Linked DNA regions of Callithrix jacchus. The protein of the gene in region 2 interacts with the protein of the main gene of each other region in a pairwise test. Links are inferred from orthologs where the notes say so. Each region holds a gene or a part of one and is shown on either strand. Other genes may lie near its edges.

Region 1 (3,500 bases), on a different chromosome or scaffold from region 2:
AAATGACTTCTAACTAAGTGAAACGTTTCTTTTTTCTTTTAGTCATATTTTTTTTCTTCACTTTTCACTTGTCTCTCTTTATCATTTATCACATGGGCACCTTGAAATTAAGTTATATTTGTAAGCTGGAGATGTCTGCTATTTCAGCTGTTACTTTCTTTGCCTGGTTCCTCTCATCTTTCATTTTGGACCAAGTGAAAAATTTCAGAATTTTATCTATCACCTCTTAACTTTCTCTCAAATTTGACTTTAAAAATGTACATGCATATGTTTGCATGTGTAACATTTATCAAGGATCAGAATACAGTGACTAGAACTCTGAAGAGGGCTGGAAGCAGCAGGTGCCTTCCAGCAGCCCACTTTCTGTGGACTCCATAAAGTGGTTCATAACTACCTGTAGGTGATGTCTACTGTTCCCTTACGTATGTTGCGGGATCCAAATACCATGGTTTCCCTCCCTTGCCTCCTTCTCTCTTTTTTCCTGCTGCTGTTGTTTCATTTCTTTCACTTCTGTCAATTTACTTTTATTTTCTCCTTATTAGCTTTCTAGCTTTCCTCTTTTATCTTTCTTGCAGAGGTACCGTTTGTAGTTCATCTGATTGTTTGTTTTTGCTAGTTTATGCTGCTTTCGTTCAAAATTATCTTTTTTTCTCATTTGTCAAATGTAGTTTTTATTTTTGTCATATCGTTTATTATTAAATTAGTATTCTCACTAACCTTTCTTCGAATGACCTTTTTTTTTTTTTTTGCATTTTAGTAAATTATCTAAAATTGTTCTTTGCTTTACTTTTTGGTATTCCTGAAACAGCATATAGAAATATGATCTTAATAGGTGGTAGCCTCTCAAACATTGGTGTCTTCTTTTGAGTCCTTTTGTCCTTCTTTAAATAATTTTGAAAAAAAAAAAAAAAAAACACTTTTTATTTTGAAAAAGTTTAGATATACATACAAGAAAAAATTGTGTGGGCCGGGTGCGGTGGCTCACGCCTGTAATCCCAGCACTTTGGGAGGCCGAGGCGGGTGGATCACGAGATCAAGAGATTGAGACCATCCCGGTCAACATGGTGAAACCCCGTCTCTACTAAAAATACAAAAAATTAGCTGGGCATGGTGGCGCATGCCTGTAATCCCAGCTACTCGGGAGGCTGAGGCAGGAGAATTGCCTGAACCCAGGAGGCGGAGGTTGCGGTGAGCCGAGATCACGCCATTGCACTCCAGCCTGGGTAATGAACGAAACTCCGTCTCAAAAACAAAAAAGAAAAAATAGTGTAATAGAGCTTCATAGATTCATCATCCAGACCAAATTGTCAGTATTTTACCATACTTTTAAGTGAAACTTTGATTCCCTAAACTTGAGTCTCATGTATTTTGTCGTTCCTTTTCATATTTTTTGAGAAATACAATGGAAATCTCAATAGGAGAACAGCAAGTTTCCAGTCATTTGTGGGGGTAGGGATTTGTTTTTTAATTGTTCTTTTTTTTTTTTTTAAGCTCTAGCCAAGAGCTTAGAAGATGCTCTGAGGCAAACTGCAAGTGTCACTCTGCAGGCTATTGCAGCTCAGAATGCTGCAGTACAGGCTGTCAATGCACACTCCAACATTTTGAAAGCCGCCATGGACAATTCTGAGGTGAGCCCAATGATTAGAAGCTTTTTGGCTGTCATGACTTGTGGGACAAAAAGAAAAAAAAAGGGGGTTGGAGAGAAGTATAATATTTAATAGACTGCTTTCTTCCCTATGGTATGGACTTTCACTAGGCGAAACAGTCTAGAATAATTATCTTTTTTTGTTATTGTTGTTTTGAGATGGAGTCTTGCTCTGTTGCCCAGGTAGGAGTACAGTGATGCGATCTCAGCACACTGCAGCCTCTACCTCCCAGGTTCAAGCAATTCTCTGCCTCAGCCCCCTGAGTAACTGGGATTACAGGTGCCTGCCACCACACCCAGCTAATTTTTCTATTTTTAGTAGAGACAGTGTTTGCCATTTTGGCCAGATTGGACTCACTGACCTCAAGTGACTTGACTACCTTGGCCTTCCAAAGTGTTGGGATTGTAGGTGTGAGCCACTGTGCCTGGCCTTAGGATAATTATCTTTAAAAAACAAACTAAAAGGCTGAGTGTGGTGGCTCATGCCTATAATCCCAGCACTTTGGGAGGCCAAGGTGGGTGGATCATGAGGTCAGGAGATCTAGACCTTCCTGGCCAACATTATGAAACCCCATCTCTACTAAAAATATAAAAATTAGCTAGGCATGGTGGTGCATGCCTATAATCCCAGCTACTTGGGAGGCTGAGGCAGGAGAATAGCTTGAACCAGGGAGTAGGAGGTTGCAGTGAGCTGAGATCATGCCACTGCACTCCAGCCTGGTGACAGAGTGATACTCTGTCTCAAAAACAAAAAACGAAACAAAAAAAAACTGAAAAGCCTTTAAATTTTTGGAACAAATTTTCTACATTGTGCTTTATTTTATCTTACAATACTGATACAAGAATTAGTTCATATTTACTGTCATATTTTAATAGTGCCTAAACATTTTTGTTGTTTTCTTTAAAATTGCTGTTTCCATAGATGAACTTTTTAAGGTACTTGTCAGTTGACATGCAGTTTTAAGAAATAATTTGGAGAGATCCTGTGTTCCCCGAAACACCAGCTATTTGAAATGTTTATGATTATTTAATTTATGCAGAGCACTTCAAAGAATGAAATAATACTGATTTTTCAGATGTAATACTGGGACTCAATAAATTATTTTTTAATTACATTAAGTTATTCAGTATGTATGAATGTATCTCTATTCCAAGTCACTTAAGGAGTAATATAAAAGTAAAAACATAAAACATAAATATTAAGGATCAGGATCATTCATGATCAGTAAAGTTGCTTTGCCATCATAACTGTAGTTTTTAAAAAAAATTTAAACACACTTTACATAGTTTTAGTTATATGTATATATATTGCAAAAGAGTTTAAATTAGACCTCTGATGTTAGTAGTAAAAAAATACAACATTTGGGGCCGGGCGCGGTGGCTCAAGCCTGTAATCCCAGCACTTTGGGAGGCCAACATGGGTGGATCACGAGGTCAAGAGATCGAGACCATCCTGGTCAACATGGTGAAACCCCGTCTCTACTACAGATACAAAAAATTAGCTGGGCATGGTGGCGCGTGCCTGTAATCCCAGCTACTTGGGAGGCTGAGGCAGGAGAATTGCCTGAACCCAGGAGGTGGAGGTTGCGGTGAGCCAAGATAGCGCCATTGCACTCCAGCCTGGGTAACAAGAGCGAAACTCCGTCTCAAAAAAAAAAAAAAAAAAAAAAATACAACATTTGAAAACTTAAGGAAAATTCCATTTTATTCAAAGTTCAAGAAAAGTGTTTAAATATCAGAGTTCAGTCAGCAAAATGGAAACCACACAGGAAATTTAATTTGCTGGTTACAGATATGGGAAGGCTAGAAGTTGCATGATGTCAGGGTATTGGGTTCAAACCCAAGTAGACCAGTA
Region 2 (4,180 bases):
CCCCCACAACGAACCACCATAATAGGTCTGCTGCACATGCGTACTGCAGGCAGGGGGTGGGTTTGTATTTTCAGACCTTTTGCAAAGAAACTACCAGAATTTTCCGCACCACCCACAATCATTCCCCACCCCCACCCCCAAGGAATCACATCTATATATTATGTTATATTATTTCTCTCGACTTGCCAGAAGGGGGAGGGAGAAGAAATGAGTTTTTGGCTTCCTGCTCCCTTCCCCCACCAACACGAGTGCTATTATTTTAAACGCTTAACAATGTAAGGAGACTGAAGAGAGGGGGAAGGGATAAAATTGGTCTTGGGTAAGAATGTAAAACAAAATGGTGAGAATCATAGCAGTCGGAATGGAAAACAATGGAAACCTCTCCTGTGCACAAATGCATATTCTAGACAAGAGCGAGGGCAGCCTGAACAAATTTCCTTAGAGGAGGGTTATTTTCCCCACACTTAGGCAGACAGAAATAATGAGTGGGCTAAAAATATTTTCCCGAAGTTTTACCTCCGAAAGTCATCTGAGGGGGTGTATCTGGGTCACTCATTTGACTTGGAGGGCTGAAAGGGAGATAAAAATTGCCCAGGGGGAAAGGGGAGATGGGTTTTCATTTCTAATGTAAAATGTAAGCAGCCTTTGACGTTTCTTCTGGTCTATTCAGAAAACCAAGGGGGAAAGGGGAGGCCCGGTTGACACAAAGACCCATCTCAACCTCCGATCCTTTCACGCTTCTTTCCTCCGCACGTACCCAGATCCGGGACCCACCCCACCCCACCCCAGATTCCGAGTCCCAATACAAATAGGTGAGGGCTGCCAAGCCCCTGGCAGGACCTGGCGTCCTTTCTTTCCCACTTTTCAGCGCCTCTGCCGGAGGCAACCCCAAAGGCACCCTCTCCCCACAACTCCCCTTTCCTTCCCCTCCTGCCATGGCGGGGGGCTCTCAGGGAGAACTTTTTCAAAAACTTTTCTCTTTTTCAGACAAGCTTGGGGGGCGGGGAGACTTTATCCTGTTTCCAGGAGACACATCCCTCCCCGACCCACAAGAAAGCACCCCCCGCTCCCCCAAAGGTCGTCTCAGCTAGACGGGAACGTTTGCCACAGAAGTCACACGGATCAATATGACAGTTTTACAAAGAGACCGATGTTGGCCGTTTTGAAGTTTGCTGCATTTGTGCCGCATGGCAGCCAGAGGCCTGGGGGTGCGGACGTCCCCTGCTGTTCCGCAAGCAGGGGGTGTGGACACCCCGATGCTCACCTATCTCAAAGAAGACTAGAAATCACTCCACTAGGAGGGTGGTCTGGGGGGGACACCGCTGGGCGCCTGACGCGGCGCAGCGGTCTGGAGAGCGCCGCCCAGAGAATTCCGCCGGGTGACTTGTCACCCCGGGGAACGGGTGCTGAGTGATGGTCAAGCTGCAGAACAGCTGGGTGGGCAGTTCACGCCCCCCAACGTGCTCAGGGAGTGGGTGGTTTCAGCGAGAGAGTGACAGTGAATGGCAGCCGCGCGAGAGTCACAGCTGCGCAGCTTGGCCACCCCAGACTGACGGGGTCAGGAGGGGAACCCCCCCCCCACCGCACTTGACACAAAAGAGCCCAGTGCCCCGGAGAGATGAAGGAGGTGGAGCTGGGGGCATGTGGTTCCCCAGACACTCTCCCCTCCGATCCCCAATCCTAAAGGACCGCTGTCCCCTGCACAGGCTGGGGGAGCTCCAGTCTTATTCCAGGAAGTGGTCTGGGTGGACTGTGGCCACCACCTGCCCCTACTTATCAGCAGCCCACAAACATTCACACGACCCCTCCCTCTCGTGCCACCTAACGCCCCTCAGTTGGCGGACACCTAAGTCCCCACGGGTGGAGGGGGGTCCGATGGACACCGTTCCTCCTCTGCCTGCCCAAGTCCTGAGCGGAGGGGGCAGGCCCGCCGGCTTCTCCGTGCGGGGAAACCCCGCTCTCCCTCGGTCCAACCCCACCGGGGCCCGAGCCCGAGGGGCGCTCGCGCGGCCGCCCCTCCCCCACGCGCCCCTCCCCCACGCCGCCGTCCGGCCGCCAGGGTCTCCGCGGTCCCTCGCTCGGCCAGGGAGGGGGCCCTGGCTTCGCCTTGGCCGTTTCCTGCCTACCCCCTCCCCGCCGAGGGTAAAAAAAAAAACCCTCCTCCTCCTCCTCCCCCGAAAGCCGCGACCGAGTGGCCCGGTCCGCGCGCGCAGCTCGCGCCCAGCGCTCTCCAGCCGGGGTGGCGGCGGCGTTGGCGGCGGCGGCGGCGGCGGCGTTGGCGGCGGCGGGGGAGGGGTGCAGCGGGGGAGGGGAGGAGGCCTGGCCCCGCGGTCGCGGCCGCCAGCGACCGCCCGGACCGCCGCAGGGCCACGGGCCCGAGCCCCGGATTCCCGCCCCGGATTCGCCTCGGCTCGGCCGCGCGGTGGGTGCCTCGCCCCCGCCCGGCTTCGCGCGCCCGCGGCTCCCACTTGGGCTTGGGGGGTAGTCGGGCGGCCGCTTACCTGGCGGCGGGGGCGGGGGCAGCGGTGGCGGCGGCGGCGGCGGCGGCGGCGGGAAGAGGTGGCAGCCGGGGGGGCTGTGGCGGTCGCGGCCCCGGTCGTGGCCCGGCCCGCGCCCGAGTACTCCCTCGTCATCGTCCTCCTCATCGTCTTCGTCGGCCGCCTCTACCTCCTCCTCCTCCTCGTCGCCCTCTTCTTCCTCCTCTTCTTCCTCCTCCGACACCACCATCTCCTCCTCCTCCTCCTCCTCGTCCCTCAGAGGGGAAGCCATCCTGTGGCTCTGGCCCCCCCACCACCCCCCCACCCACCGCCCGCCCGCCTCCCCCACCGCTACCACCACCACCTCCTCCTCCTCCTCCTCCTCCTCCTCCTCCTCCTCGGCGGCGGCGTCCTCCTCCTCACCGCCTCCCCCAGCCCCCCAAACCCCCGGGCCACCCCCCTCCAAAACCCCCACCCTCGGGGCCGCTGTCTGAGGAGGGGGGCCAAACCACCCCCAAAAATTGTCTTGGAAAAAAATTGAGGAAAGACTTTTTTTCCTTCTCTCTTTCCTCCCAAGAGAACAAGAAAGGGGGATTTAAAACATATATATATATATATACATATATATGTGTGTATATATATAAAAGTTTTCGACTTCTCTCTGCCCCCCTCTCCGTTGCTTTAAATATATTTAAATTCTGAGGGGGGCGCTCAGAAATATTTCTCAGAGCTGAGGCACTAAGATGGCCGCCTTGAAATTATTTTTAAAACAACCCCCCCTCCAGCACCGCCACCCCCTCCATAAAGAAAAGGAGAGGGGGGAAAATCCCCTTTTCAAACAAAATGGCTGGCTTAATATTTCATTTTTCACCCCCCCATTCTCCTCCCTGTTACACCCCCATCTCCAAGCCTCTACCCAGAAACCCACAAATTTCTCCTTTTTCATAACTGATTAGTGCACAGATTAATAGAGATATTTTCCTTGTGTACTGAAGTGTGTGTGTGTGTCTGTGTGTCTGTGTGTGTTGGGGGGGCATGAAGGATTTCTGCATAAAACAAAAATGGCTGCTGTGACTAACTCCCCCCTTATAAAAAATATTTGAGGGGGGGCATTAATCAGTACTCATGCTCAGTCTGACATCAGCATAAATTGTTAAAGGTTAACTAGTTAGATACTAGTCCAACTAGATTTAATTTTTTTTCTTTTCTTTACTAGTCTCTTCCTCCCCACCTCCCTTCTCTAAAGAAAAGCTTTTTTTTTTTTTTGAATACTTCAGAAGGGAGTGGTTTGATGTGAAGGTTTTTTTTCCCCTTCAGGCATTGAAAAGGAAAAAGATGAAATATATGTTTATATATAACTCTGTTTCTACATACCTCATTGAAGTCACAACGCATTTAATTGTGTACAGATCTTCTAAATGAGAAGCGGGACTGGATTTTTTTCTTCTTTCTTTAAAAAAAGTGATAGAAATCCTAGTGACTTTTGGGGGAGAGATATGAATAGATACGATGATTGAGTTTTTTCAAAGGAGTCCATGTTTGATTCTCCCCTTTACCCAGCCTTTTCAGTGATTTATAATTGTTGTAAATTTTATCTTTACTTTTTCCCCCCTTTCCCTTGCTTTCCCCTCCTCCAATTGCTAGAATGTAAAATTCAACTGACTTTTAATTTGGGGGTAAATGGGACAAATTTTTAGGATAAA
Region 3 (3,500 bases), on a different chromosome or scaffold from region 2:
AGCCTCCTGAGTAGCTGGGGAACTCATGCCTGTGCCACCAAGGCCAGCTAATTTTATTTTTTATAGAGAAGGGTCTCACCATGTTAGGTATCACCCAGGCTGATCTTGAACTCCTGGGCTCAAGCAGTCTTACTGCCTCTGCCTCCCAGAGTGCTGGGATTACAGGTGTGAGCCACCACACCTGACTTTATTTTTTATTTTTATGTGGTTGGTTGGTTTTATTTTTTTTCTGAATATTTTTGATCTGTGGTTTGTAATGAATTGAAAGCATTGGTTTGAAATAGAAAACATTTAAAAATCAGACAGCATATATAATTGACTTTAATTTACTGATGTTTTTGTGAATTTGTTTTTAAGTTTCTGGGCTCCACTTAAATTAGTATTAGAACTTTCTGTTGCCTTACAGTGTATTGATGTGGCACAATGGGATGACATTGAATACTATTATGAGATGATGTAAGGGTTGAAAACATAGATTAAAACAAGTTTATTTGCACTTCAGAGGGTAGTTATTAACAGCTGTAATATTGTAAGTTGAATCTAATGGAGTTGTAATAGTACAGGTTCTACTGAAAGAATAAAATGTTTATTATCCCTTAAAGAGAAGGATTTTTTTTTTTACATGTATTTAGGAAAAACTGTACTTTAAAGTCAAATAAGCAAAGATTTTAGAAGATAAAACCCATCCCAAGCATACAAGAAGACAACAGGCATCGAGCAGTGTAGAATTGTCTGACCTTTTGCTTTTTTCCCCCGGACTGGGTCATGTATCTTTATATAAATAGAAAAACTGGATTTCACAAACATGACTACATTTTTAAGAAGGTTCTAATTGGGCACTGTGGCTCATGCCTGTAGTCCCGGCACTTTGAAAGGCCAAGGCCAATGGATCTCTTAAGCCCAGGGTTTTGAGACCAGCCTGAGCAACACTGCAAAAACCTGTCTCCATAAAAAATTTTTAAAAAATTAGCCAGTTGTCATGGAATGTGCCTGTAGTCCCAGCTACTTGGGAGGCTGAGGTGGGAGGATTGCTTGAGCCTGGGAGGTAGAGGTTGCAGTGAGCCCAGATCATGCCACTGCACTCCAGTCTGGGTGACAGAGTGAGATTTTTGTCTTAAAAGAAAAAAAAAAAAAAGGTTCCTGACATATTTAACATTTGGTCCTCTTTGTGCATAGCTTTCCAATGTGTGTGGTTATCTTTGTGCATAGCTTTCCAGTGTTTCCCTCTTAATGTAAAGTGTGTAGTGTTTTACTTGAATTTGTAGCTCTAATTTGTATAGAAAAACATAATAGTTGTATATTAACAGAAAATGCTTCTAAGAAGTTTATATGTAATACTGTCTTTACCCAAGTTGTAGTTGGAAGAGTGTAGAACAGAGGTTTTCTTTTTAACTTGAGTGTTCTTTTTAACTTCAATGTTAGTACTAGTAAAATAACCTTATATGTCTTCTATCCAAAGGTCTACATCAAGGATTCACATTGGAGTCCTAAACTGAAGGGCATATTTAAAATGTATTTGTCCAGATTTCACTGCTAAAGATTATGATTCAGTAGGTCTGGGATGGGTTTCAGCTATTTGCGTTGATTGTGATAACATATATGACTTTAGTTGAGGACTGCTGGTATTACCTGCAATTTTGAGATAGAGAGAAGTGAAGGAAATTCTTTCTTCAAGATCACTATAGCTGAGTATAGCTTGTTACCTGTGGAGACGTTTGTTGACAGAAAGTACAGTTTTTGGAGTTTTGGTCATTTTAGAAGAAAGCTTATTATTTAGGAATTTTGCAACATTGCTTTTCTACTACTTACTCAGTCGTCTTCACTTATATTTTTAGGCTCATGCTGAAGATTCGGTTATGGACCATCATTTCCGGAAGCCAGCAAATGATATAACGTCTCAGCTAGAGATCAATTTTGGAGACCTTGGCCGCCCAGGACGTGGTGGCAGGGGAGGACGAGGTGGACGTGGGCGTGGTGGACGCCCAAACCGTGGCAGCAGGACCGACAAGGTAATTTAAGTCCTTCTTTTCCTTTTAAGTAATTTAAGGACCTCTTATAAGTCACTGACTGGGTCTTTTTGTGAACGTAAGTAGAAGTAGTAGCCATGTCTTCAGGAAAACACATGTTAGGTTATATTTTTGTTTAAAGCACTTAAATGCCTTTTTGTATAAAGTTAGTAATGTTTAATTGCCACACTTTAGAGTTCCTGTTAGGTGCCGGTCCTGGTGCTGGGCTAGGCATTTTGTGTGCTTAATGTCATTTAATTCTTGTTACTATGATGACATTCTCATTTTCCACATGAGGAAACTGATAGAGTGAATCAAGTTAACTCTTGGCCTTTGCTAAGGTTTACCTGAAAACCAGTTGTTCACTTTGATAATTCCTAACTGCTTTTTAGGTCTCCGCTTAATAACCGTTGTGTTCCCTGTATAACTTCTTTTGTGACACTCATGATTGTTGACACTTTTTCTTTTACTAGACTCTACTGTGAAATCTGGAATTCATTTTTGTCTTATTTTCTATAATCTCTCCAATGCCTTGAACAGTGCGTGTCACAAAATAAGTTCTTAGCTAAATATTTTGATGAATTCCCAAGTAATTGATAGATATGAACTCAGATCTGATGCTTGGAAACAACCATAATGTCCACCTAAATTCTCAGCACCTGATACACAAATTCAGGGACCCACCTGCTTGATTCAGTCTGTCTTTGATTATAAGGATAACTTAATAGTATAGATTTTGTGGTCTTTACTGCCAGTGTAATGATACTTTGTTTCTACCTCTAAGACCAATCTGCTTTTTTTTTTTTTTAAGGCAGCAATTAGGTTGATGGGTTTTTCCCATACCTTTTTTAGTTCTGTGGCTGTAAAAAGCAGTTTGGACTCCTTTTTTCAGACTTATTACCTTGTTGATTGTTGCTACTTAAATATTAGTTTCTTAGCATGCTTTTTCACATTTATGCCATTCTTACTTAGCAAGTGGAAAAAGTATAAGAATACTGAACAACAGGCCGGGCACAGTGGCTAATGCGTGTAATCCCAGCACTTTGGGAGACTGAGGTGGGGGGATCATAAGCTCAGGAGATCGAGACCATCCTGGCTAACTTGGTGAAATCCCGTCTCTACTAAAAATGCAAACATTAGCTGGGCACGGTGGTGCATGCCTGTAGTCCCAGCTACTTGGGAGGCTGAGGCAGGAGAATTGCTTGAACCTTGGAAGCAGAGGTTGCAGTGAGCTGAGATCGCGCCACTGCACCCCAGCCTGGGCTGCAGAGCGAGACTGTCTCAAAAAGAATAAAAAGAGGAATTACTGAACAGCAGTGTGAATTCACATACATAATTGCATGTGAATCTACTTGTGTGGTTTATTGGAAAAATAAAGTAACTGGCTGGGCACAGTGGCTCACGCCTGTGATCTTAGTACTTTGTGAAGCCTGGGTGAAAATCACCTGAGGTTTGGAGTTTGAGACCAGCCTGGTAAAAATCGTGAAACCTGTT
Region 4 (4,109 bases), on a different chromosome or scaffold from region 2:
CTCATCACATTGGGTGGTCCAGTTTGGACACCTCCTTCAGGAGAGAAGTCAAGAACAACTCCCCTTATCATTATACCGCCATATTAAAAAACATAATTGTTTAGAGAAAGGGAATTCGTATCTGAATTCTGACTTCTGGCCCTCAATCTATTGTTAAATTTATCACATCATTATGAACAAGCCAACTAAACTCAGTTTCCTAGGATATTTTTGAATAGTAATTGAAAACACAATGTCACAAATAGGAATACGATTAGAATTCATGTGAGGATGTCATGTAGGTGAGAAAGCAAGGGTATTGTCAAAGAAAAAATAAAAGATTTAAAGTTAAAATATTTGACATCAAAGATTAATTTTATTGAATAAAAATGATTCAACTATCTGGAAATCTTATTTCTCTCTGTTGTTTTCCGTTGTTTCAGGTTTAAAATTTATAAAATTTTATAATTTTATATTTATAAAAGGGCCATTAGCTTTACTGAAATCTTTCAAAAAATGAAAATGCTCATTAAAAAGAAATGTAGGTCTTGCTACACATTGCTATATGTGAAGCCCAAATAAGGCACATGGAAAATGTCAATAAATTAGGAAGTTCATGATTCCAAATCTCATGATCTCATGAAAAGAAGTCTAAAAAAAACAGAGAATTATATATAATACATACAATACATTAGACTATAAATATAGTTAGGTATACTTTATTACTCTAATTCTCTGTAATATCTCATTTAAAGTCAGATAATTTAAAAGTCATGTATTAAATAGTACTTGTGTATATCTCAAGCTCTACCTTTGAGAACATAATGCATTTGCATCCAGAAGCAAACAGCTGGAACACAGCAACTAATAATGCTGTTACATGTGGCTTCAGATGGGAGTTCCTTATAGTGGCTTTTCACTAAATGAAGAAAAAGATGTCCCAAAGGGAATCAGTGAGCAGTGGCAGGAAAAAAGATCATCTTCTATGTATTTAGAGCACAATTAGAGAATTTAAGGCCCAAGTTTCTTAAAGCACAAAAGAATGGCATTAGAGTATTTTTGAAAAAATATATAATTTTTAAAAATCTCATCTAATTTAAATGAAAACGTATAAATATTGCCAGTCTGAAATAACTCATGTCCCAAAGGGAGAAAAAAAAAAGATAATATTCATTCTAATTTCCTCTGAATTTAACTGGACTACATATTCCTTAATGATTTGGCCTTTAAAATGCATAATTTACTTAAAAAGAAACATAATGAAGATGGAAAATACAAGCTTTATTTTCTGCGTTGGGAGACTTCTCTTTTGTTTCATTCTCATTACCTGTTAATATTTCTACATATCAATGCATTCCTAGATAATTAAGGGGCTAAAATGGGCTCTGCTGTTTCATCAATTCCATGTTTGCCTTGGATCATAAAATTGCTTCATTATGTTATTAGTTCAAAAGCTCTTTTTGGTAATTTACCAAGTCTTCTCCCAGATCCCTTACTCCAGTGCGCGCACGCGCACACACACACATACAGACACGCACGCACACACATACACCCCACCCCTTTCTCAAGCTGCTAAAGCAAAATGCTTGATAACTCTTAAAATGCTCAAGGATGGGAACTTTACTATTCTCTCCTCTTAGGACCCCCACCCCTCCTATTTTCTGAATGTATTCCCAAACTTACAAAGCAGCTCTTAATAGACACAAGGGTGAGTTAACAATAAAGCGGATCTATACGGCATGTATGTGTTCTTGTATGAGCGCGTGTGTGTTGTGTCGTGTTATGTCATGGAAAAAGGGGTGTGTGTGTGTATGGAGAAGAGAGAGAAGGCTTCACGTTCAGTCTATTAAGTAAGAAAGGAGTTGAATATATTCCTCTCAAAAAAATTTCATAACTTATTAGAAACATCAACTTAGAAACTCTCAATATCTAGTCGATTAGTAACAAATACACCCTAGGTTCATATGGGTCAAATTAAAAGTTTAAGGGTCTATGTACAGGGCAGTTCTTTATATGGGACTCAGGGGGCATCTTCTAAGCTTTGGGTCTAACCATTTCTGGAACCATTCCTGGGCTGTCAGGTGGGAATAAGGGTGCCAGTGGTTCTGTGAGAGACGTTCCATGTCAGCTAGCATTGGGAGGAACAAGCCCCCACAGTTTACCTAGAAATGCCAGCTAAGAGTCATGGGCTGGCCGGCCCTGGGGCAATCAGAGAATCAGAGAGAGGATTGGAAAATGAGAGCTGCTTGTTCAGGCTGCCTTACTTTCTCTTCAACTACCCAGCCACAGACACACCTACTAAAGCTCCCGGTTTTACAAAAAGCAAAGATGCACTCTCCCGCCCTGGCCTGCTCTCCAGCTGGCAGCTGGAACAGGGTCCAAATGCACGCTTAACATCACAAAAACTTCTCACACTTACCTAAGCACTCCCTGACGAACCTAACCTCACTCCCCCAAAATATGCCTCCCTTCGTCCCTGAAGCAAGTCAGTTTTGAAAGCGGTCCTATCAGCAACGACACCAGGCAGCCTCTCTCACTCCTACCACCATCATCGGCTGGCACCCAGAAAAGTGGCACAGGGTGAAGGCAAACTCGAAGAGCCCTCCGAGAAATCGTGCGTTCTTCTCACTTACTTTGAGTTGCAAATGTCCGCTCTGGCGCTCAGGCTGCCTTTGTTGCGAGGGGCGAGGTTGCTACTGCCGAGTCCAGGTATGGGCGGCTCGCTGCAGCTCTGGGTGGCTGCGGCTCTCCACGCCTTCTGGACGGATGAGTCACTGGTCTCTTTCTTCCCCTCTCCCCACTTTGGATTTTCCTCTGCTCTGGGGCTCTCTTGGCGGGATTTTTGGACTGGAAGGCGGGGAACCTGATCCTGCCTTTGACTCAATTACGCCCCAACAGGGAGGGAACGGAAGGGAAATGGAGAATGGGAGTGATGAGAGGAGCGGGCCAGGAGGACGCAGGCTGGGCGAGGGAGGGAGAGCGCTTTGCGCTCCAGAGCTGATTGGGAAGCTTATTAAAAGCAGAATACTCCAGGGGCAGTCTCTCCCCATGGAGCAAGAAAAGGGATTTGAACTAAGAGGCCAGGAGATGGCATTTTGTTTTGTTTTTAGCAGAGACCAAACACAGTATTTCTCTTCCAAACTCCATGCATTATCAAGTCTTCAGATGGTGCAAAGCCACTTTGCCAACTGGGATATTTTAAATGAACAATTGACTGCATTTTAGGTTACAGTTTTGGCCCCACACAATTCTTTAATGATATTCAGGATGAAAAAGCACTCTCGCTGGGCGCGGTGGCTCAAGCCTGTAATCCCAGCACTTTGGGAGGCTGAGGCGGGTGGATCACAAGGTCAAGAAATCGAGACCATCCTGGTCAACATGGTGAAACCCCGTCTCTACTAAAAATACAACAAATTAGCTGGGCATGGTGGCACGTGCCTGTAATCCCAGCTACTCAGGAGGCTGAGGCAGGAGAATTGACTGAACCCAGGAGGTGGAGGTTGCAGTGAGCCGAGATCGCGCCATTGCACTCCAGCCTGGGTAACAAGAGGGAAAGTCTGTCTAAAAAAAAAAAAAAAAAAAAAAAATAGAAAAAGCATTCTCTTCAAACCAGCCTCTTCTTTCCCACCCGCCAAAGCCCTCCCTATACACAGAGGCAGTTACCCAGCTGTGAGTCACATCTCATCTGCAAAGCACAAAATGTACAAAGTACTTTTTCTCGATTGTCACAAAGAGTGACAGACGTCTGAAAACTCCCAATTAAGTACTACTTACCTTTAGGGAGAGCTCTCTCCTTTTTTGGTTTCCTTGGTGCCTTTAGTGACCTATTTAGTAACATGCCTTTGACACCCAAGAATTTAGAGGATGTGTCAATGTAGCTCAAATGCTGAGGTTTGTAAAAGTTGGAGGCTGGGCTTTGTGTCTCTCTGAAATTTTCATTTCATTCAGTTGAGGAAAGATGCTAAGTCAATGCAGAGGTAAGTATTCATGATACAGATGAGATACAAGTATTGTATTAAGATTAAGATGCATTACACAAATTTACCCAAACATTTTCAAAATGTAAATCTCGAGATTTTCTGCTACTTACCAGCTTTTCCTGCTCCTTGGCTAGTTCCTTTCACTTACTT
Region 5 (4,103 bases), on a different chromosome or scaffold from region 2:
GATCAGCTCTGAGCGGGCGGCCGCCCCAGGGGGCTGGGGATGAGCCGAGGGAGGAGACAGGCTGGCAGCGGCTCTGGCGGGAAGACACCCACGATCTTCCCTATCATCACTGGACTGATTTCAGATTCTGGAAGGAGCCACGCTCTTCCTGTCTCCTCAGCCTTTGCACTTGCTGTTTCCCCCACTGGGAACATTCTTTCTATATTTCAAGTCACTCCCAACCGGCTCTACCTGACTCATGCACTCTTTAGATCTTTGCTGCAACATCCCCTCCTCCAGGAAGCCCTCCTGGATGCCCCCAAGCTGGGTCAGGTGCCTCCTGTGAGCCCCCTCGCTGCCCTGTGCCCTCTGCATCCCCCATTGCACCGCAACCACACCATGTCACCATTACCTGATCACATCTTTGTGTCCACCCCCAGCCACCAGGGCAGGGACGGTACCATCTTTGTTCCCCAGTGTGCCCAGTGCACAGTAGGTGCTCAACACATGATTCTTAAATAAGCCCTCCAGGCCACCAGCCCCAGTGACCACGAGCAGGAAGTGTCCTGCAAAATTCAGAGCCTCCACTTGTATGATATTCAGATAACCTGGCCCGGCGCGGTGGCTGACGCCTGTAATCCCAACACTTTGGGAGGCCGAGGCGGGTGGATCACCTGAGGTGAGGGGTTCGAGACCAGCCTGGGCAACATGGTGAAACCCCATCTCTACTAAAAAACACAAAAATCAGAAAAAAGAAAAAAAAAAATTAGCTGGGCGCGGTGGTGGGCGTGTGTAATCCCAGCTCCTCGGAAGGCAGAGGCAGGAGAAACGCTTGAACCCGGGAGGAGGTTGCAGAGAGCTGAGACTGCGCCATTGCATTCCAGCCTGGGCGACAAAGCGAGGTTGTCTTACAAAAAAAAAAAAAAAATTCAGATAATTCAGGGTGGCATTCAAGACCCTTGGACTAGGGGGTCCCTGCTGTCTGGCACTGTCCTTATGGAATTTACTAACACGTAAAACGGGGTTATGGGGGCATCGATAGCCTGCGTCCCTCATTTTAGAGGTGACTGGAGGACTCTCACGTAGGCGGCCGCCCCAATTTCCCGCTCGGGTCATCGGGCAGCCCCTTCCCAAACCCCGAGAATGCCTGCAGCCAAGAAATCGGGTTTCCTTCCGACAGCAGTTAACATGGCTCCTGCGGCGTCAGCACGCGGCGCATGCGCCTTGCCGAGGGAGGCAGGGTTCGCGGAACAGGAACGCGGCTCCTCCTTCCTCCCCGCCGCGCCCCGCTTCCGGCGGAAGCGGCCTCAACAAGGGAAACTTTATTGTTCCCGTGGGCGCGGCGAGGATGTCGGTGAATTACGCTGCGGGGCTGTCGCCGTATGCGGACAAGGGCAAGTGCGGCCTCCCCGAGGTGAGCGCATCCGGGGATCCCGAGGGTCGCTCCCAACGCCGTTGGCAGGGAGGGTCCGGACGGCAGCAGGGCATTGTGGGAATATCAGGAGACACTGAGGCTAGACAATGGGAGGGACTTCCCAGTGAGGAAGGGGCGGGAAGTGACACCCCTGCGCACCCGGGGACGCGAACACGCCCAACTCTGTGGCCACCGGCCGGGGCTGGTCGGGGAGAGCGGGGGTGTGTAGTTCCAGGAGGAGGGGACGGCAGGCGCAAGGGCAGGGTGGTGGAATAAACGCACCTGGAGAACGATTAGGCCGGGGAGGTTTCCAGAGCCGGGCCAGGGCGGGGCTCAAATGCCAGGCTGGGGAGTTGGCACCTTCTCCCGAGGGGGATGGAGAAGGGTCTTGCCCTGGCGAGGGGCCTGGACAGAATGTGCCAGGAAGATCCCTCCAGCCACTCGGAGGGGAAGTGGAGGGGTCGGCTGTCCCCTCCGCGCCCGGTGGGAAGTCACTTCAGTTCTGGGTCCCCATCCCCATCCTTTCTGCGGAGGCTGTCGCCTGCGTGAAGATGGCCCCGTCCCATAAAGGCTGACCCATGCATTCCGAGTCTTGCATTTAGTGAGCGCTGACGGTGTGTCTGTCCAGAAGCCGCGCTCTTCATTGCTGCTGTCAGTCACTTTATTTATTTACCTACTTATTTTGAGGCGGAGTCTTCCTCTTGTCACCCAGGCTGGAGTGCAATGGCGCGATCTCGGCTCATTGCAACCTCCACCTCCTGGGTTCAAGCAATTCTCCTGCCTCAGCCTCCCAAGTAGCTGGGATTACAGGCACGCGCCACCACGCCCGGCTAATTTTTGTATTTTTAGTAGAGACGGGGTTTCACCATGGCCAGGATGGTCTTGATCTCTTGACCACGTGATCCGCCCACCTCAGCCTCCCAAAGTGCTGGGATTACAGGCGTGAGCCACCGCGCCCGGCCTGTTAGTCACTTTCTTCCACCAACATTGATGGAGCACCTGCTGTGGGTCAGGCACTTTCTAGGTAAGGGGGCCACAGTCAGGAGCAAGACAAGTTAACCCCTCTTTCTAATAAGGGAGACTGACTAGGGGTTGTATGGAAACCAGGTGGCCAAGGGAGGCGTCACTGTCGCTGAGGTGACATCTGACCCACAAGTTACAGGAGGTGAAGGAGGCATCCATGTGGGTATCTGGGGGAAGAGCACTCAAGGGTGTGGGGACAGCCTGTGCGGAGGCCTTGAGGCAGGACTGTGCCTGGCGTGATGGAGGAAGAGGGAGGAGGCCTCCCTGCGTGGCTGGATCAGAGTGAGTGACGCTGGGAAGGGAGCAGAAGAGAACATGAGGGGGCAGGGCTAGGGCTTTAACAAGGCAGGTGGGAGCCACGGAGGTCTGTAGGCAGAGGACACACATGAGGACAAGCTGCCTTTTCCAATCTATTTCCTGCCCCAGGCAAGAAAGGGACAGCTCGGTCTGTGGCTCGTGTATGGCCTGGCCACTTGCGGGACCTGTTCTGACCCCTCCATCTGCTCCTTCCCCCTACAGATCTTCGACCCCCCAGAGGAGCTGGAGCGGAAGGTGTGGGAGCTGGCGAGGCTGGTCTGGCAGTCCTCCAACGTGGTGTTTCACACAGGGGCCGGCATCAGCACCGCCTCTGGCATCCCCGACTTCAGGTCTGTGAGTGAGTGTGCAGGGGACATCGGGGCAAGGCCCACCAGCCTGCCACGGCCTTCCCCGTGAGCCACACAACTAGGCATTAGGGCCCATCCATCTTCCTTCCTTCCTTCTGGATGTGTCCTGGACACTGGGGAGGGCTGATATTCCCTCCCTTTAGGACGTGTCCCTTGAAATCACAACCAGCATTCCACTCACCCCCTTGGCCTGATCACACCTGGCTGGAAAAAAAAAAAATCAGAATTCCAAGGCGTGAATTTTTCCTCCTCCTCCTCTTCCATAACCTGCTGTGGCTCCCCATTACCAGGCAGGAAGAATTCTGAATTCCTGGTGCTGGAAGCTCAAGCCCTTTGTTCCTGGCCCAGCCCCGAATCACCTCTCCAGCGTCAGCTCCTCCTGCCCCTGCTACAGCCCCCAAACACTTGCATTTTCTCCTAAACTCATGGGTTCTTCCCAGCACCCCGGCGTCTGTTTACCCCTTCTGTCTGATATTCCCTCTCACCCTTCAAGAGACGCTCAGACTCCTCCAGGAAACCCTTCCACATGCCCCAGCGTCCCCACCACCTCCACTGGCCTTCCCCAGGCCCAGGTACCTCCTCTGATCCAGTCTTGACCCCGTGGGGCCAGAGGGTCTGTGTCCACCTGTCTCCCCCAAGATCAAGGGTTTCTGGAGGGCAGGGCTTGGGTCCATGTGCCCTGCCAGGCTCAGGGCAGCAGCAACCAAGTTGATTGAACTGAATAAGTCATTTTTGCCTTCGTGTGAATTCATCTCTCCCTCTCTCTGTCTCTCCCTCTCTCTGTCTGTCTCCAATTCTAACTTGACTTTGTCTTTAACTCGTTATATCTCTGTCTCTGTCTTATTCTGTCTCCCTCTCCCTGTTCTTCCAAATTTACCCTCTATTTCTTTCCGACTCCCTCTCTCTGCCTCCCTGCCTCTCTCTCTGTCTCCTGATTTTCTCTCTCTCCGTCTGTTTTTCTGTTCCCCTCTCCCCCTCCATCTCTCCCGGCCTGCCACCTTCAGGGGTCCCCACGGAGTCTG
Region 6 (4,261 bases), on a different chromosome or scaffold from region 2:
TCTGTGCCTTTTTGAAGGACAAAGGCAATCTCCCACAAATATCATAAAGAGTCCCAATAACAATCTGGAAAGCAGAGTTGCTAAAGCAGAAACAGTATATGATCCCGACACTGGCAATCAGGGTCTTCAACAAAGTAGTTATGGCAAGTCCTGCTCCGCATAGAGAGCTGAAAGAGTGCTGACATACTGCTCATCTGAACCAGAACCTGGCCCGAACCATGATGAAACAGGTTCGCTGCTCTTCCACTCTTCATTACATAAAGTTTATGAAGTCCTTCTTAGTCGTTGGATCCTGATGGTGCCTAAATTCACCATCTTAACAATGATAAATATTAGGAAGAGCAGTTATGATAAACTGTCCAGACAGTCCTGGCTGCTCTGTGACATCCACTTTCGCAGCATTAACCTCAAGATCTTCTCCCCATTCAGCAAAACTTTCCCATTCCAGGGCATCAGGGGCATAAAATTCTATCATCCAGTCTCCTTCCAGCAGCTCTCTCCAGTTCTCATGATGATGACGTGTACATTGCTCCACTGCCCATGGGTCCAGGGAGCACCCCAAAGCAACTGCACCAAGACTGCCAGGGGAACTGCAAGACTCCCAAAGGGTGCCATGTCCGCCGCTTGCCCACCTCACAGCAAGCACAGCGGCCCAACATTGGGTTTTTTAAAAACTGTAATTATCAGTGTTTTAAAAATTGCCCAGTAACTCTAGACTTCAAAAGTAGGATAAGTAATGATAAACCAATAATAAACTTATGAGAAGCATAGTCTGTTTTAGTGATGTTGTTATGCCGTATTATGGTCATTAACACAGTAAAGGCCTAATTCATCAGCTTTCTAAATTGGTTCTGTGCTTTTCTAGAAAAACCTACATGTGGTATACTTGGTGTTAGTTACAGCTGCATTTCTCCATTATTTATTTTTAGGAAGGTTATAGAGATGGAGTAGATGCTGGCAAAGCAGTTACTCTTCAACAGGGCTTCAATCAAGGTTATAAGGAAGGCGCAGAAGTCATTTTAAACTATGGACGACTCCGAGGAACACTGAGGTAATTTTTAAAACCTAAATGCTGACTCATTTTAAACTCAATACTGCTGGAGGCGTTTAAACTGAAGTGCTTTTCCTAGTGCTAAATCCACTGAAGCCTCTCACAGAACATAGAATTATATTGCCTTCAAAAAGTCAAAATTATTATCAGTTCATCCACTTTAATATGTGAACTACATATCGTCTTTTTGTGCAAAGAAATGGTAAGAAGATGTGTGCTTTTGCTACCTAAACAATCACCTATCTCATTAAAAGATCTTCAGGTTTTGATTAAAACTTTTGGTACTTGCATGCAATATGACAGACCTCTAGACAAGAAGTACGTGATGAAAATTATAGTTGGTAATTAAGAGAAAACTGATTTCATTTACTGTAGTCCTGACATTGAATACTTGTCAGGATGCCATCGCAACAACGGCATGTATCAGAGCCAAGTGGTCAAATGATACACAGAGCCGGAAGCCTAGCAGCCTTGTCCTTTTTGATGCTTTATACCAAGCTTGTCCAACAAGTGGCCTGCGTGTCGCATGTGGCCCAGGACAGCTTTGAATATGGCCAAACACAAATGCATAAACTTTCTTAAAACATGAGCATAATGAGATTTTTTTGTGATTTTTTTTTTCTTTTTTGTTTTTTTAACTCAGCTATCATTACTGTCAGTATATTTTATGTGTGGCCCAAGACTGTTCTTACAGTGTGGCCAGGGAAGCCAAAAGATTGAACACCCCTGCTTTATACCCTTCAAACTGTCCTCAGTAGAGAAAAACAAAATGCTTCAAAGAATCGCTAATTTTAAAGAAAAGTAGATAATAAAAGTTACCAAAATAGAACTAAAAAATTTATTGTGTTTGGAATTTTAGAGAATCCAACTATTAGGAACTAGAATCTATTCTGCTACAGTAGGAAACTAATCAATGTGAATATTCACATTATCAAGTTAAATCAATGTTATATAAACTTAGAAAGCTACTACTGAGTCTTTTACATCAATAGATTCTATTTTTAAATACTTTTCGTAACAACCATTATTTTATGGCATTACTGTAATATTAAATCTGTTAGGACTAGAAGAATTTTTACCTTTTTCGAGGAAATTGTTAGTAGTTCAGGAAACAATGTCTACTCTGTGACGTAAGCCCAGGAAAGTGAAGTCTCTTTAAAACTTCTTTTCTCGGGCCGGGCGCGGTGGCTCAAGCCTGTAATCCCAGCACTTTGGGAGGCCGAGGTGGGTGGATCATGAGGTCAAGAGATCGAGACCATCTCGGTCAACATGGTGAAACCCCGTCTCTACTAAAAATACAAAAAATTAACTGGGCATGGTGGCGCATGCCTGTAATCCCAGCTACTCAGGAGGCTGAGGCAGGAGAATTGCCTGAACCCAGGAGGCAGAGGTTGCGGTGAGCCGAGATCGCGCCATTGCACTCCAGCCTGGGTAGCAAGAGCGAAACTCCGTCTCAAAAAAAAAAAAAAAACTTCATTTCTCTAACCTTCATTTCTGATGGCAAGCAACTATATGCTTAGAACAATGGTTTTCAACTTTGGTTACACCTTGAAATCAACTGTGAAACTTAAAAAAAAGATGCCCCGGAGATTCTGATTTGATTGGCCTGGAGTATACTCTGGGTCTTGATAGGTTTAAAAGCTCTTTGGGTGATTCTAATGTGCATCCGTGATTGAGAATTGCTAGTTTAAATTCTCAATTTAACTAATTCTAATTAAATTGCTATTTAAATTCTTCTGACCTTAAAGAAGAATCTAGTTTTTCTTTCTTGGAGCTGTATTTATCTTCAACAGATACCACATAATCATAAGAAAAAAGTATAAAATCAGGAAAAGTGTATACGGAGTTGTGAAAGTGGTTATGAATTATGAACAGTCTTATGATTAAGTCCAATTGTTTAATTGTTATTGAAAGATAATTTAAGGTCCTGTTTACTGTTATTACTTTCCTGATTCTGACTGCATTATTATCCTTAATCCATTTTTGCACAGTATTATCTGGAAGAGAAATATGTCAGGCTTAGCATCAACCATTCTAAAAGCCTGTGACTAACTGTCTTTGTTATTTAACTCTTGTGTATATTTCTGTTCAGTGCTTTGCTCTCCTGGTGTCACCTTCATAATAATAATTCGACTTTGATCAATAAAATACATAATCTTCTGGATGCAGTTGGCCAGTGTGAAGAGTACGTGCTCAAACATCTGAAATCAGTCACTCCACCATCCCATGTTGTAGATTTATTGGACTCCATTGAGGATATGGACCTGTGTCATGTCGTTGCAGCTGAGAAAAAGACTGATGAAGCTACCGATGAAAGACTCTGTGAAAATAATGCTGAGTTTAACACAAACTGTAGCAGGAGCCATAGTGGGATAGATTTTTCATATTTAGAATGTTGTGGAACACAGGAGCATGCACATTCAGAAAACCCAAGCCTCACGTGGATTTTAGAACAGACAGCCGGTTTAGTTAAACAGCTGGGCATATCAGTAGATGTGTTACAACACCTCAAACATCTGTAAAAATTATCTTCCCTTTTCTAATGTATATAATGTTCAGAACATTTCTTAGAACACTTGGTTTCCTAAGAATCAAAATTTGTACTGGTTTCTGCATCAAACACTCCAACTGTGGGGTTATCCTTTATGAAAGTTTGACATTTACACTATTGTCTTCAAAACTAACACTATTAAATGTAATATAAGCCTTTTTTCTTTGTCACTGGTAATTTTTATCTAGTTTTAAGATACGGTCAGAAATTTCCATTGTCATTGCCATTTCAAAACTTATCGTCAAAATGAAGTGTTTTCAGACTTATTTGCAAAAGTAAACAAGAATTACACATATTTTATAAGGACCTACCCCTACTTCTACCTCCTGTCACTGCTAGGTGGTCAGGACCTCACCAAACCTAAGTTATAAAAATAACCTAATAGCATATAAACACATAGACAGATATATAGATATAGATATGTAGATATATGCTGAAATTAAGAGACTGTTAAGTGTGAGAAACTAAAGCAGTGTTTATGCTGTTGATTCAATGATTAACAGCAAAATACTAACGTGTTTTAGTTTTGTGTTAATTGAAAGGACATTGTTTTATGAAAAATACAGAAAATATACTTCATGCTTGAATCTAAGGAAAATACCTACTTGGTTTTTTTCTAAGTAGTAGGGAGTCAGTAGTGTTGCCTAACAATGTGCTGG
Region 7 (4,224 bases), on a different chromosome or scaffold from region 2:
ACCACACTTGAGAAGCACTGCTTCAGGCCAGAGTTCTCTTTGGCATCTTTGAACTGGTCATCACCAAACCACAACACCAAGATTCATTCTCAACCCCTTCTTAGGTGCAAGAGAAACTTTCCCAGAATACTTCTCAGATCCGTTCTGCCCAAATTGCCCCACGGCCTATTCCTAAGCCAGTTACTAAGAAGGAATTGGAATCAGGTGCTGTGAATAATTTATGGTTAATCAAGTTTGAGGCTGGAAGGGGCCGCTTCTTCTGGGGAATATGATGCCTGAACAAAATACAGGCTCTGGGAAAATGTAAGAGGGAAAAAGAACGGCTGTAGGATAAGCAGCCAAGCGTGTCTGCATCAGTGCCCATGCAAGATTTCCTGGAGAAAGTCCAGTCCAGCGTTCTCTAAACTCCAGGCCTCAACTGAGTATCTCAAAAGAAAACAAATATCCAAACCTCAACGTGTCCAAGACTGAATTCATGATTCTCATGAAAGTAGTCTCTTCCAATGGTGACTAATACTACCACCAGATGCTGGAGCCAGGAAAATAAGAGTCACCATACCTTCTTCCTCATCACTACATCTAGCTCATCACCAAGTCTCTGAATCCTCCACTCTCTTCACCTCCACCTCTACCAACCTAATCCAAGTCACTATCAGCAATTGCCTGGAGCTTTGCAACAATTGTGTTTGGCTTCCCTGCATCCATTTGTATTTCTCTCCAAATTATTAGTTCACAGTGCAGGTCGGGTGGCCTTTTCAAACCCAAATCTGCTCATGTTCAAAACTTGCTTCCCACTGCTCTTAGAATAGGGATGGACGACTTTGAGCTTGAATAGGCTGTGCATACCCCACCTCAAGACTGCTGCACTTGCTGTTCCTCCTCCGGCCCCTTGTCACCCCCTCTCTCAGCTTAACTGTCACTTCCCAATTAGGTCAGGTCCCTCTGCTGCAAGCCCGTAGAGAGAGCTCTGCGCCTGTCCTTCAGGGCACTTTTTCTCCATCTACAGACTCAGACCTGTGCAAACACGGAGCTAGTATTTCCCACAGCATAACGCCTGGCACACGGTAAGTGCGCAATATGTAGCTGTTGAGCGGCTAAATGTATGCATAAGCTCAAAGCAGAGTGGCCGGTAACAAGTACGGACGCAGTCCGGGGAGAACACGCACGCAGCCGAGCCCCCACCACCAGTCCGCGCCGCCGGGACAGCGGTGGTGTCTCCGGCCAGTAGCTCCGCCCCTGGGCCCCGCCCCTCTGTACTGCGCGGAGGGGGCGGGGCTCAGAGGTCGCGTGACGTAACAGCAGCCGGTCGGTGATTGGGCCTCCCGGAGAGCCGGCTCGGAAAGGGGGCGTCTCCCCGCGCGCTGATTGGCTGTCGGGCGAGGCGAAGCGGGTGGTGGCGGCGGCGGCGGCGGCAGCGCGGGGGCGGGCGCCGGGAGGGGCCGGGCCGGGTAGGGCCCGGAGGGCGGTGGCGGCGGCGGCGGAGCAGCGGCCGGCATGGGTCCTAGCCGCCAGCTTCGCTGAGACGCGCTCGCGTGGGCTGCCCGCCCGGGACCACTGTGGTCGTGGCGGCATGAAGGGCGCTCTGGGGAGCCCCGTGGCCGCAGCCGGCGCCGTGATGCAGGAGAGTTTCGGCTGCGTGGTGGCCAACCGCTTCCATCAGCTGCTGGACGACGAGTCGGACCCGTTCGACATCCTGCGCGAGGCCGAGCGCCGGCGCCAGCAGCAGCTGCAGCGCAAGAGGCGCGACGAGGCGGCGGCGGCGGCCGGGGCTGGTCCCCGCGGCGGCAGGAGCCCGGCCGGGCCCTCTAGCCACCGAGCGGGCGCGGGCGGCCGGAGGGAGTCGCAGAAGGAGCGCAAGACCCTCCCGGCACCTGGCGCTCAGGGGCCCGACAGCCCTGGGGGCGGCCTGCAGGCGCCGGGTACGCAGTGGGGAGCTGGGGAGCGGGCCACGGCGCGCCCCGCTGTGAGGCTGGGGTCCCGGGGCCGGTTCCTGGAGGCGGGGCTAGGGAAGAGCCGGGAGAGTTGAGGGTCCTGGTGGCCGCCGAAGGTAGGAGGAGAAGGGCGGGGATCACACCCCTTCCAGCCCTCACCAGCCGGTTGCGGAGCTCGGGGGAAGCGCAGGCGGGGTGGGGTGAGGTGGAGCCCCCAAACCCTGGCACTGAGCCTTTACGGCAAGTTGGACAAAGTTGAGGGAGGTTGCTGGGGTGGCGTGTGGGGGCGAACGCTGAGGTCGCTACCCTGGGGCGCGCACATCCAAGCTGGCGGGGTCCTTCTCCATCCTCCAGCTCAGCCTCTGCAGGATTGAGGTCGGAGCCACCCGAGAACGCGGTAGGGAAGAGGAGGGCGCCCGGCCCCGGGGCTGGAGGTCTCTGTGATGCGGGAGGCCTGGGCGACCGCAGGGCGGCCTGTGACGTCCGGGTCCGGGAGGGGCGGGCGGGGGTCCCTGGCGCCGTCCGGCCTGGCGCCTTCGCCCTTTCCCCGTCCGGTAGCGTCCAGCAGGCAGCGGGCATCGTATTTCAGTACTTCGTGTGGTGTTGATGGGATGTGGAACTTATAAATAACTTAAGGCCGCTTTAAGAAAAGCGTTTTTTACCTTTCCATCAAGAATATTCGGAGTTCCCTACTCGCTGTTTAGCAGGCAAAACCAGTGCGCAGCGTGGTGTTTTGCTGCCTGCGGTCGGGGAGGGTGCTTGAGAGTTCATTCTCTCACCTGAACTGCGTCAGTGGCAGAGCCCGCAACACTCCGCCTGTGTTTCTTCTGTTTTCTTTAAATGAGACAGCGGTCCCAAGATTTGCAGAGTGTTAAGATTAAAATGTGTAGTTTGGCCACTCCTGCCAACGTTTGGCAGTGTGTTCAACTTCGTTTTATTCGTTTGTTCCTTGTTTGATAAAGATTGTGCATCGCAGCGTTGTGGAAAGGTCTCAGGTTTAAGTATTCGGGCTTTGATGTGCAGCTGGGTCATGTTTACCTTTATTTGTGAAAAGTTAAATCCAGAGTCATCAGTCGAGAATCAAGTCACTATAATAAAGATGTTGAAAATGATTTTAAAAAATGTTATTCTCTCACGACTCTTTGGTAGGCCAGTAAATTTCTGAGCCTATCTAAACTGTGAGATTGGAGATATATTGTGCATTTTATATCCTGTTTTTTGTGTTTTTCTCATAAATGTATTTACATGAATATAATAAAAGAACTGAGAAAGGCTAAGCTTTTCTTCTCCATTTTTTTAGCAAATGAAAATACATATTCTATTCCGAAAAACATGAGACGGGTTAGTACTGTTAATACATTGATTTTTAGCCTTTTTTAAATTGTCATGCATTTTTGTTATAAAAATTTTAAGCAGTTCCAAAATGCATGAGGTTAAGTGAAAATCCTCTTATGTTTCCTGCTGTTAACACTTTGCATTTATATACATAAATGCACAGGGCTATTTCTTTTCTTTCTAAACTTAAATGATACAAACTGGTTGCAACCTGTTTCCTGCACTTAATGTTGTCATGTGGTACACCCATAACTTTTTTTCTGTCAGTTGTTCCGTCTGAGTGATCTGGCTTTTGAAATCAACTGAAGATGTTGAGTTGATTTGTAGTTAGAATGGAAATTTTATCATTGACGTTCTTTTTCAAGTATGTGTTTTTTTTCAGGAGCAAACAGCTTATTAATTTCCATTTAGGTAGTTGCTGTACGAAATTTATCTATGATGGATGTCAAAGAGCTAATCTCTCAAGGTTTTGTAGCCCGGGTTGATATGACACACTGTACCAAATTTTTAATTTTGTTAGAATATTGTAAGTGAATGTTTAGACAAAAATAAAATATATTTGATATCATAGAAATACTAATCCTGAAAGAATGTGGAAGTCACAAGCTTTTCATATGGAAATGTAGGGTTTTTGTTTGTTTTTGAGACAGTCTTGCTTTGTTGCCCAGGCTGGAGTGCAATGGCATGATCATGGCTCACTGCAACCTCCACCTCCTGGGTTTAGGCAATTCTAACAGCCTCCTGAGTAGCTGGCATTACAGGCATCTACAGCTAATTTTCTTTTTTCTTTTCTTTTCTTTTTTTTTTTGAGATGGAGTCTTGATTTTCTGTCACCAGGAGTGCAGTGGCACCCTCTTGGCTCACTGTAACCTTTGCCTCCCGTGTTCAAGTGATTCTCCTGCCTCAGCCTCCCCAGTAGCTGGGACTACAGGTGCATGCTACCAAGCCCAGCTAATTT

The links.
Region 1: the proteins of CHD3 (region 2) and IMMT interact in a two-hybrid assay, tested with the Homo sapiens proteins (2 studies listed by BioGRID and IntAct). The link is inferred for Callithrix jacchus from reciprocal best matches to the Homo sapiens genes CHD3 and IMMT.
Region 3: the proteins of CHD3 (region 2) and SERBP1 interact in binary tests that used the Homo sapiens proteins (3 or more experiments, as listed by UniProt). The link is inferred for Callithrix jacchus from reciprocal best matches to the Homo sapiens genes CHD3 and SERBP1.
Region 4: the proteins of CHD3 (region 2) and PTN interact in a two-hybrid assay, tested with the Homo sapiens proteins (2 studies listed by BioGRID and IntAct). The link is inferred for Callithrix jacchus from reciprocal best matches to the Homo sapiens genes CHD3 and PTN.
Region 5: the proteins of CHD3 (region 2) and SIRT6 interact in a two-hybrid assay, tested with the Homo sapiens proteins (2 studies listed by BioGRID and IntAct). The link is inferred for Callithrix jacchus from reciprocal best matches to the Homo sapiens genes CHD3 and SIRT6.
Region 6: the proteins of CHD3 (region 2) and YAE1 interact in a two-hybrid assay, tested with the Homo sapiens proteins (2 studies listed by BioGRID and IntAct). The link is inferred for Callithrix jacchus from reciprocal best matches to the Homo sapiens genes CHD3 and YAE1.
Region 7: the proteins of CHD3 (region 2) and HABP4 interact in a two-hybrid assay, tested with the Homo sapiens proteins (3 studies listed by BioGRID and IntAct). The link is inferred for Callithrix jacchus from reciprocal best matches to the Homo sapiens genes CHD3 and HABP4.

What each region holds. Positions count from the first base shown.
Region 1 is NC_133515.1:26,833,178-26,836,677, forward strand, and holds part of IMMT (MICOS complex subunit MIC60), read left to right. Parts: intron 1-1,491; coding exon 1,492-1,628; intron 1,629-3,500. UniProt on the Homo sapiens protein: Component of the MICOS complex, a large protein complex of the mitochondrial inner membrane that plays crucial roles in the maintenance of crista junctions, inner membrane architecture, and formation of contact sites to the outer membrane.
Region 2 is NC_133506.1:74,381,829-74,386,008, reverse strand, and holds the start of CHD3 (chromodomain-helicase-DNA-binding protein 3), read right to left. Parts: upstream 2,801-4,180; 5' UTR 2,770-2,800; coding exon 2,502-2,769; intron 2,423-2,501; coding exon of another isoform or gene 1,876-2,422; exon of another isoform or gene 1,849-1,875; intron 1,413-1,848; exon of another isoform or gene 1,265-1,412; intron 570-1,264; exon of another isoform or gene 557-569; coding exon of another isoform or gene 517-556; intron 1-516. Other genes in the region: uncharacterized protein LOC144582572, read left to right, coding at 1,876-2,422.
Region 3 is NC_133508.1:104,649,693-104,653,192, reverse strand, and holds part of SERBP1 (SERPINE1 mRNA-binding protein 1), read left to right. Parts: intron 1-1,835; coding exon 1,836-2,009; intron 2,010-3,500. UniProt on the Homo sapiens protein: Ribosome-binding protein that promotes ribosome hibernation, a process during which ribosomes are stabilized in an inactive state and preserved from proteasomal degradation.
Region 4 is NC_133512.1:109,978,627-109,982,735, reverse strand, and holds the start of PTN (pleiotrophin), read right to left. Parts: upstream 2,801-4,109; 5' UTR 2,613-2,800; intron 1-2,612.
Region 5 is NC_133523.1:3,924,703-3,928,805, reverse strand, and holds the start of SIRT6 (NAD-dependent protein deacylase sirtuin-6), read left to right. Parts: upstream 1-1,303; 5' UTR 1,304-1,327; coding exon 1,328-1,393; intron 1,394-1,537; exon of another isoform or gene 1,538-1,614; intron 1,615-2,242; exon of another isoform or gene 2,243-2,417; intron 2,418-2,935; coding exon 2,936-3,063; intron 3,064-4,085; coding exon 4,086-4,103. UniProt on the Homo sapiens protein: NAD-dependent protein deacetylase, deacylase and mono-ADP-ribosyltransferase that plays an essential role in DNA damage repair, telomere maintenance, metabolic homeostasis, inflammation, tumorigenesis and aging.
Region 6 is NC_133512.1:8,037,086-8,041,346, forward strand, and holds the end of YAE1 (protein YAE1 homolog), read left to right. Parts: exon of another isoform or gene 1-615; intron 616-929; coding exon 930-1,051; intron 1,052-3,143; coding exon 3,144-3,573; 3' UTR 3,574-3,761; downstream 3,762-4,261. UniProt on the Homo sapiens protein: The complex LTO1:YAE1 functions as a target specific adapter that probably recruits apo-ABCE1 to the cytosolic iron-sulfur protein assembly (CIA) complex machinery. May be required for biogenesis of the large ribosomal subunit and initiation of translation.
Region 7 is NC_133502.1:77,381,277-77,385,500, reverse strand, and holds the start of HABP4 (intracellular hyaluronan-binding protein 4), read left to right. Parts: upstream 1-1,424; 5' UTR 1,425-1,570; coding exon 1,571-1,919; intron 1,920-4,224. UniProt on the Homo sapiens protein: Ribosome-binding protein that promotes ribosome hibernation, a process during which ribosomes are stabilized in an inactive state and preserved from proteasomal degradation.